Ovis aries: one gene and its partner. The protein of the gene in region 1 interacts with the protein of each later gene in a pairwise test. Links are inferred from orthologs where the notes say so. Each region holds a gene or a part of one and is shown in the gene's direction. Other genes may lie near its edges. The genes, in order: EEA1 and RAB5B.

Evidence for each region.
Region 2: the proteins of EEA1 (region 1) and RAB5B interact in binary tests that used the Homo sapiens proteins (3 or more experiments, as listed by UniProt). The link is inferred for Ovis aries from reciprocal best matches to the Homo sapiens genes EEA1 and RAB5B.

Annotation. Positions count from the first base shown.
Region 1 is NC_056056.1:129,190,501-129,194,317, reverse strand, and holds part of EEA1 (early endosome antigen 1), read left to right. Parts: intron 1-17; coding exon 18-218; intron 219-1,509; coding exon 1,510-1,623; intron 1,624-3,817. UniProt on the Homo sapiens protein: Binds phospholipid vesicles containing phosphatidylinositol 3-phosphate and participates in endosomal trafficking.
Region 2 is NC_056056.1:163,549,927-163,554,173, reverse strand, and holds the start of RAB5B (ras-related protein Rab-5B), read left to right. Parts: upstream 1-1,214; 5' UTR 1,215-1,310; intron 1,311-1,410; exon of another isoform or gene 1,411-2,053; intron 2,054-2,558; exon of another isoform or gene 2,559-2,684; 5' UTR 2,685-2,743; intron 2,744-4,126; 5' UTR 4,127-4,246; intron 4,247-4,247. UniProt on the Homo sapiens protein: The small GTPases Rab are key regulators of intracellular membrane trafficking, from the formation of transport vesicles to their fusion with membranes.

The DNA of each region.
Region 1 (3,817 bases):
CCTTGCTTGTATGATAGGTAACTCAGCTAACAGAGAAGCTGAAGAATCAGTCAGAAAGCCATAAACAAGCCCAGGAGAATTTGCATGACCAGGTGCAGGAGCAGAAGGCACATCTTAGAGCTGCACAAGACCGTGTCCTTTCCCTAGAATCCAGCATCAGTGAATTAAATAGTCAGTTAAATGAAAGCAAGGAGAAGGTTTCCCAGCTTGATATACAGGTAATATTGCATTGTGCAACTTGTTTGTATGAATAAAACACCAGTTTTAAGCTATCATATTTAAATTGTTTTTCTCTCTGCCTCTCCATCCCCTGCCTTACTTATTAACTGGAGAAATAGAAATAGGAATTAAAGTTGCATGTGGACAGTTTGCTGAGCTTTCCTGTTTGCCTTTCTCCCTACCCGTTTTTCAGTTTTCTCTTTTTCCATGAGGCCCTCACTACTGTTTTTGAAGTTTAAAGTAGTTTGTTATTATACCATTAGATTTCTGTTACAGATGTTTGATTTTGAATTTGATTTTTAAATTTTACTTCAAATGTTTGATTTAATTAAAAAAAAAAAAACACACACTGAAAACTTTAAGGGATTCTCTGGTGATCCAGTGGTTAGGACTTGGCGCTTTCACTGTTGAGGCCCATATTCAGTCCCTAGTTGGGAAACTAAAATCCCTCAAGCTGCATGTGCAGCCAAAAAATATACAGTACAATTATGTATTTTAATATGTCTTCTTTCAGACGCCAATATGGAAGCCTTACGGAGTGAGTCAGTCACGGGGTGGGAATTAAGATATATTTCTTTCTCCATTCTCATTGTTTTTTTATTCTAGACTATAGTAGAGAAGGTTTTAGAAACATTTCTAAGCCTAAATTTTCTTTATTTTAGGAGAATAATTCCATTAAAACCAGAAATAATACAATAACAAGTATAAGAATTTGGAAAAAAGAGGATACACCTCTTTTTAAAACTTATTAGATGAGTTACAGATAATTCAATATGTGGATGTCCAATTTAAGAGAGAAAGTGTTTTGGTGTTCTATAGGGACGTTTTTTACACTGGAGAAGGCAATGGCAACCCACTCCAGTACTCTTGCCTGGAGAATCCTATGGATGGAGGAGCGTGGTAGGCTGCGGTGCATGGGGTTGCTAAGAGTTGGACACGACTGAGCGACTTCACTTTTCACTTTCTTGCATTGGAGAAGGAAATGGCAACCCACTCTAGTGTTCTTGCCTGGAGAATCCCAGGGACAGAGGAGCCTGTTGGGTGCGTCTATGGGGTCACACAGAGTCGGGCACGACTGATGAGACTTAGCAGCAGCAGAACATTATTAGGAGTATTCTCCCCTATTTATTCCTGTTTGGGGGATTATCACGTACTTATTTTTTAATGTCTAAATTTTTGTTTTCTGCTGAAATATTTAAACTTTAAAATTAATGAGAAAAGTATTTTACACTCATCAAGCGGAAACCAAGAACTAAATACAAATTAAATGAGTTGTAAATTTTGTTACAGGTTAAAGCCAAAACTGAATTATTGCTATCAGCAGAAGCAGCAAAAACTGCTCAAAGAGCAGATCTTCAGAATCATTTGGACACAGCCCAAAATGCATTACAAGATAAACAGCAGGTAGGAGAACTTGATGCAGTTTCCTGTCATAACCTAATGTTTTGGTAGATAAATTAACTGGAAAAATATGTGAAAATTATACTTTGATATAATATTGTGATTGACTTGCTTATTCTCCTTAATTTCTCCTTGAGTTTGGAACCAGTGAGTGGAATATGCAGGAGTTAGACAGATGGAGATAAAATATAATCTTTGGGAATTCCCTGGCAGTGAGTGGTTAAGACTTGGTGCTTTTGTTATGGTGGCCTGGGTTCAGTCCCTGCTTGGGGAACTCATAATCCTGCAAACTGTGAGGTGCAGCCAAAAAAAGAGAAGTATGTTATTTATGTTCTTGATAAAGTTCAACTTGTGCAGTTGTGGTTGAGCTTCTTAATACTGTCTTTCTCCCATAATAGAGACCTTGGTGTGATGAAATATTTACTCCTAATTTTTGAATTGTTTCTTCATCCTATTAAGTGGCAATGACTGGGAAAGAGAGACTTCACAGCTGTTTTAAGTGGACAGTCAGGCGGTGACCCAGGTATACTTGCCTCTTGGCAGGAAAAGAGCAGCATGTATTCCATTTCAATTATAAGAGTTACTACTCTTTTCCTGGGGGTAGGAGTAAAAGTGGGGCTAGGAAGAATACCAGAGTTACTCTTCTCAGCACTTCTGATAGGAAAAAGCTTCCTACTTCAGAATCCAAGGTTAAAATGCTGGTAGATTTTTCTTACCTTTGACCAGGTAGGAATTTTAAAAATTTACTTTTTACTTGAGAAGCAATACTGGTTGTTGATCCAAAAAGTTTTATTAATAATACAGTACTATATATCAAGTTAATAAAACCTTTCTCTATATTTACCTTTAACTGCAATCCATTTTTCTCCTTACATGGAAATTTTGCTTTTATGTTTGGTATATATCCTTCCAGACTTCTGTAAACATTGAAGAAAAAATATGTGTGTGTGTACACATACAGGTCTTTTTGTTTTATACAGATGGTATCACTATGTATGTTGTTCTACAACTAGGTTTTTACTTTACATTATTGCTAAACACATCTATAATGTATTTTCTAAGTACTAGGTCAGTGCCAGAAAGTATAATGGAAAAAGTATGTATAAGAGTAACCACATAAAAGTTGAAATTTTTATTTGCCCAAAATATTACGAGCAAAATTCTAAAGTAAGTAGCAAAATAATAGAGCATTTTCTGAAATATGTCTGATGAAAGATTGATATTTTTGTTTAAAACATTTTTACATAAGAAATAAATGAATCTACCAAAAGAAGTAAAAGATCAAAACTATATTAGGAAATCTTCATATTCATTAAGAATTAATTGCAAATTAAGACAGTAGTATACCCTTATTAAGGTAAAATGTTTGGGTGCACGTGTTTAACACTGGAAAGGCTAGAGATGGTATAGAAGAACAAGTCACTTCCACACGTTGCTTGCAGTTCAAGCTTTTGATGGTAATAGGGAAAGCTGGTAGGCAGTATATTTAAGACCTTTAAGCTTTTTCATATTCTTAATCTCACTTTTAGTCCTTTACCCTAGGGAAATAATCATAGTTTTAAGGATGGTGTTTGCATATTTGTTGGAAAGGTTTATAGCAATCCAAGAATACAGCCGAGGGTATTCGGCTAAATAATGATCTATATGAATACAATAGAAATTTATGCAGTCATGTATAATGATAGTTTGGAAGATAATGTCACAGTTTTATGATGCTTTGTTATAAAACAAAGGAAGTTACAGTAATACTGTATGTAAACTGATATCCTTATCTGAAAAATAGAAATAAAGAAATAGAACCTAACATACAGAAAAGTCTAGAAGGAAAGTTATCAAAACATTAATAGTATCTATGGGCAATGGATTTCCTAATAATCTTTATTTTTTTTGCTCTGCAATTAAATATTCCAAATCAATTGAACAAGTATTATAATGTAATCAATGTAATTAAAAATATTATAAAAAATGGTATCTTGAACATTGAAAATATTTACAGTATAAAAGCGTTACTTTGTTATTAGCCTGCTTAATATCCTGTTGTATCTTTTGGCTTCTAAAATAAGTCTTCCTAGAAAAAGTTGTTGAGCTATTATGTGTATAAACGTAGTATCTCAGAGTGTGTACAACTTCAGTTCAGGTGCTTTATGTTGATGGGTAAATGTAATCTCATATATATTATTAGGCTTATTTATGGTCT
Region 2 (4,247 bases), about 34 Mb from region 1:
GTGTTTTTTTAAAAAAACCTTTTTTTCTTTTTATGATTTTGTCTCTCTTCTCCCACCTTTTGTCCCTGAGTGTTCTTGCTGTTAATATTATTTGTAATTTAGTTTGTAACTGATTTAAAAAAAGTTCCTAGTTTTACAGTTCATCTCTTTCCGCTTTTGTGTATTTATTGAAAGAATGGTGTGAGAGAGAATATGGATGTGTGTATGTGATAATAGATTTAAGACCCCTCTTAATCTGTCTGAGCACGGCTTCCCACCTCACTCCATTTCGACCTCTGTGATGCAGTGGACAGTGTACGGGTGGGCGAAGCGGGAATTATTGCCCCCATTTTACGGCTGAGGAAAGTGAAGTTTATGCATTTCCTACTTCACTTTCCCCTAAACCTGCGCGTCTCACCACCCTACCCACCACCTATATCACACACACACACATACATACAAGGCTCCAGTTCGAGATTTGCAATGTTTGTTAGGGCTCAGGAGCAGCACTACGTTGGAAGTGAGCTCCAAGGGAATTCGCATTGACGCTGCGTTTCCCAATAAGTTTGCCTTTTTTTCTTTTCTTTTTGCATATTACAGAGTTTTTCAAATATATTTATTCATATTTACAAATGATTCTGAATGTATCAACCGTCTGTACGAAAATTATTGTAAAGGGGCTAAAGCCTCCCCAAACTACCAGTTCTTGGACCTGCCACTGTCTCAACTCACCAGAAAACATCTCAGACTGCCTGAGGGCCACCCCCGAAATTCCTGTGCTCTGAGGCCCCAACTAAAAGGAGGAAGCACCGACGTGAAGGCTGCTTAAATTCCCAAGCTCCGGGTCCTTAGGAGAGGTATTTCCCTTCACGCCCGCGAATTTGTCATCGAAGGCGGGGCGCTGGAGGTAGCCCCCACCAATCCCCGGGGGAGGGGCGAAGGTCAGTAGCGGCGTTCCTAAGGCCTCTTTCAACCCCGCCTTGCCTGCCATTCAAGTCCCGACTTTTCGCAGTACTGGTTGAAGTTTCACTTTGACCCGCCTCCACCGCTCACCTGATTAGATGTTTATAAATTAAAAGGCGGGGTCATGAGGGCATCGAGATTTTATTGGTTAAAGTATACGCCTATCAACGGGGTGCCGCCCGCTAGTTTGAGGAGCTCGCCCTTTAGTGGCTCCTCACCTCGTCCATCTTCAAGGTTTCCCTCACTGTATTGGTCTGGGGTCTCGCCTATCCAGTCCTTCGCTCGTACTCGTTGGTGACAGCGCCGAAAGAGTCCCGCCTTTCTCCAGAAGATTGGCGGATTAGCACGCAGAGAGCCCACCCTTGACGGTAGGCGGGTAGTCGTGCAATTGGCTGGGGCCCCGCCCCAGGGCGAGGAGGAGGAGGAGGGGCAGGAGGGTTTGGTTGAGCTGCAGCTGTTTGTCTGTTCGACACAGGCTTGGGCCCGACGGGGGAGACGGAGCCCCAGGTACCGGGCTGATGGAGCCCGCAAGGGCAGGGGCGGAGGCACCCCGGAGAGGAAAGCGGCCTGGCCTGAGGGCAGAGGAGGGTCTGGGCCTCCGCGAGGGGTTAGAATGGCCCACCGGAGAGGGGAGAAGGGGACCAGGCCCCGGCAGGCCTAATGGGGGCGCTGAGGAGGGGGCCGGGCGGGCTGGGAGCCTGAAGTTGGTGAGTCGGGGAGGCGGCCGGGAGGTTTTGGCGGCTGGGCTATGGGCCGGCGCAGGAGGCCCGGGGCTCCCGTGCGGGCAGGGGCAGGCCTCAGTGAGCGGCGCCGAAGAGGGAGGAGCTGGGGGAAAGGGACTGGGCGGCGGGTGAGGTAAGTCATTCGCCGGGAGGTGAGGAGGGGTCAAACCCGACGTCCAGGCCCCGAGGGGAACCGGGGCGGGACTCTCGAGAGCTCTCTTTGGAAGGGTGAGGGAAGGGCTCTTAACTGGGTAAGAGGCATTCTTTTCAAGCAAAGTGGCTATTATAAAAATAACTAGGGTGCCCCAGAGTTGAGCCGAGAGGGATTTGGACTCAGTGTGGGAGAACTGACACAAGCGAAGAAAGCTTTCCTGATCTAGAAGACTCAGGTAGCCGGACTGGTGGAAGCAGGGCCACGAATCAGTGATGGGAGCTTCTGGGAATGCTGAAGGGTGGGCTGGGGGCCTTGGGTTTTGCGAGTACTCGCGCTTTTGTTCCCATTGGTGTGGAGATGTGGCAAGTTGAAGTTTTCTGGTACTCTCAAGGTGGACAGTGAAGACAAACTGGTTTTTTTTCTGTGACTGTTGGCAGTTCCCAACTCAGCCCCTACTCTCTCCCTTGGCCTCAAGCTGGTTTAGGCTGCAGTCTCGGTGTTTCTTACCTCCTGTTTCATGTCCTGTGAAAAAGCTAAGAAGTAGGGTTTGGGGGATGTTTGTTCCTTTCTTTCCTGCTTAATAATATGGTCTATATTGGGGACCATATCTCTCACCTGAAAGTGGGGAATCAGTGATTCATTTTCTGCTCTAGAAATGCTTAGGTATCCCCAACCATCCAGAGATCTTCTGACTATAGTTGGTGAAACTTTTGTGGTACTTAGACTTGGGTATTTCCCAGGCAGGTAATGATTATGTGGAATCAAGCCTGGAAATATGAGGTGATATCACAGAGGAAGGGATTTGGGGAAGAGAGAAATTCCATTCCAGAAGGTTGGCATCACCCGTTCTTTGTCTACTTCTTCAGGAGCCGGGGTTTCTGAGCTATTAGAAAGCTGGGTCAAACAGAGGCACTCGGGGAAGGAGGTGAGTAGAGAAAAGGAAGATGGATTTCTAAGACCCAGAGGTCCCTTCCTCCCATATATTTTTAACAGTCTACTGACCTCCTTAGTTCCCCCCATAGATTGGAGCATATTGGATTTTCCCTTATTATACTTCCTCCTTTTTCCATTTTATAACACTGTATTTTATAACTACTTTCTTTTTAATTAGAAAAGTGGTATGTACATCTTAAAATATTCAGGTTTTATGGAAGTGTAAAAAGTGTAAAACCTCCCACATATACCCCACTCATTTCATCCAGAAAGGTCAGAGATAAGAGACAGCAGATCAAACTAATCTTACTTCACTTTGGGCAATGTGCCAGCAAAGGCAATTCTGTTTTCATGTTCCCACCATGCACTGGCTTCTCCTTTCCAGTTTTCCCTTCTGGGATGATACTCTGTTATTTATTGTGCTCCTTTTACAGTTCATTCTGTCTTGCTTTTATCAAATTCAGACAAGTAGAGAGCTGTACTCTGGGTTATCCCTTCACATTCTTAAACAGACACACACACCCGACTTGTGCACTAGGTATCCTAAGGAAATGCCCAAATAGATGGCCAAAATGTCTTTCTCTTTTATGGGCAGGAAAGAAAAGTTGAAGTGAATCATTTTGTTTGGGAAAATTATTGGCATCTTTGCTAAAGTGAGGAATTAGAGATTTCTGTCCTGTGGTTCATGGTCTCTGCATGTTCAAATTATATGACTCTCCCTTCATTATCCCCAAAGAAGATGGTGGTTCTTCTAAAGGGCCTCTGTGTCTATCTTTCTATAGTGATATGAGAAGCTTGCAAATTTTTCTGGCTTTGAAATTGGTTTTCCTCTAAACCTCAACACAGCTGGGACATTTTTTTACACCACCTTATTAATTGAATTTGTCCTTACTGGCTTTAGAAGCCCTGTGATGTGCCCAGCCTTTGTACAGTGCCCTTGGAAACCTTGATTGTTGTCCCTCCAAAAGCTTTTATTTTCTCTTCTGCAAAGTCAGTTCTAGGGAAATTGTGTAGATGTGTATGTTTTAAATCCTCACTAGGCTTTGCCATTTCCTGCATCCTGATGATATCCTGTCCCTTTTTTTTTTTTTGTCCCTTTCTTCTATACATCTCTTATCTTTTCTACCTTCCCCTTAATCAAAGCCTACTTTCAAGAAAAATGATCTAAAATTGCTCCACATTAGGTTGTAAATAACTAATAATCATTTAAAGTGTTAATCCTCCTGAGAGTTTTTGCTTTTTAAAGAGGGAGTTAAAGAATGAAAATTATCAGTATAGAATTTCAAACATAGATCTGGAGTTACAAAAATATATTTGGAGAAGAGGAGTTTCCCATTGCCCTTGAAGTCATACCTCATCCCTTCTTTTTGCCCAGGAGCAAGGATTGCTCTTTTACAGTTGCTTGTCTGTGCTCACTGATATGAATTTGACTTATGAGGGGACGTAGGTATGAGAAGCAAGTGCCTGCTCCCTAATCCTACGGCATTTCAGATTGG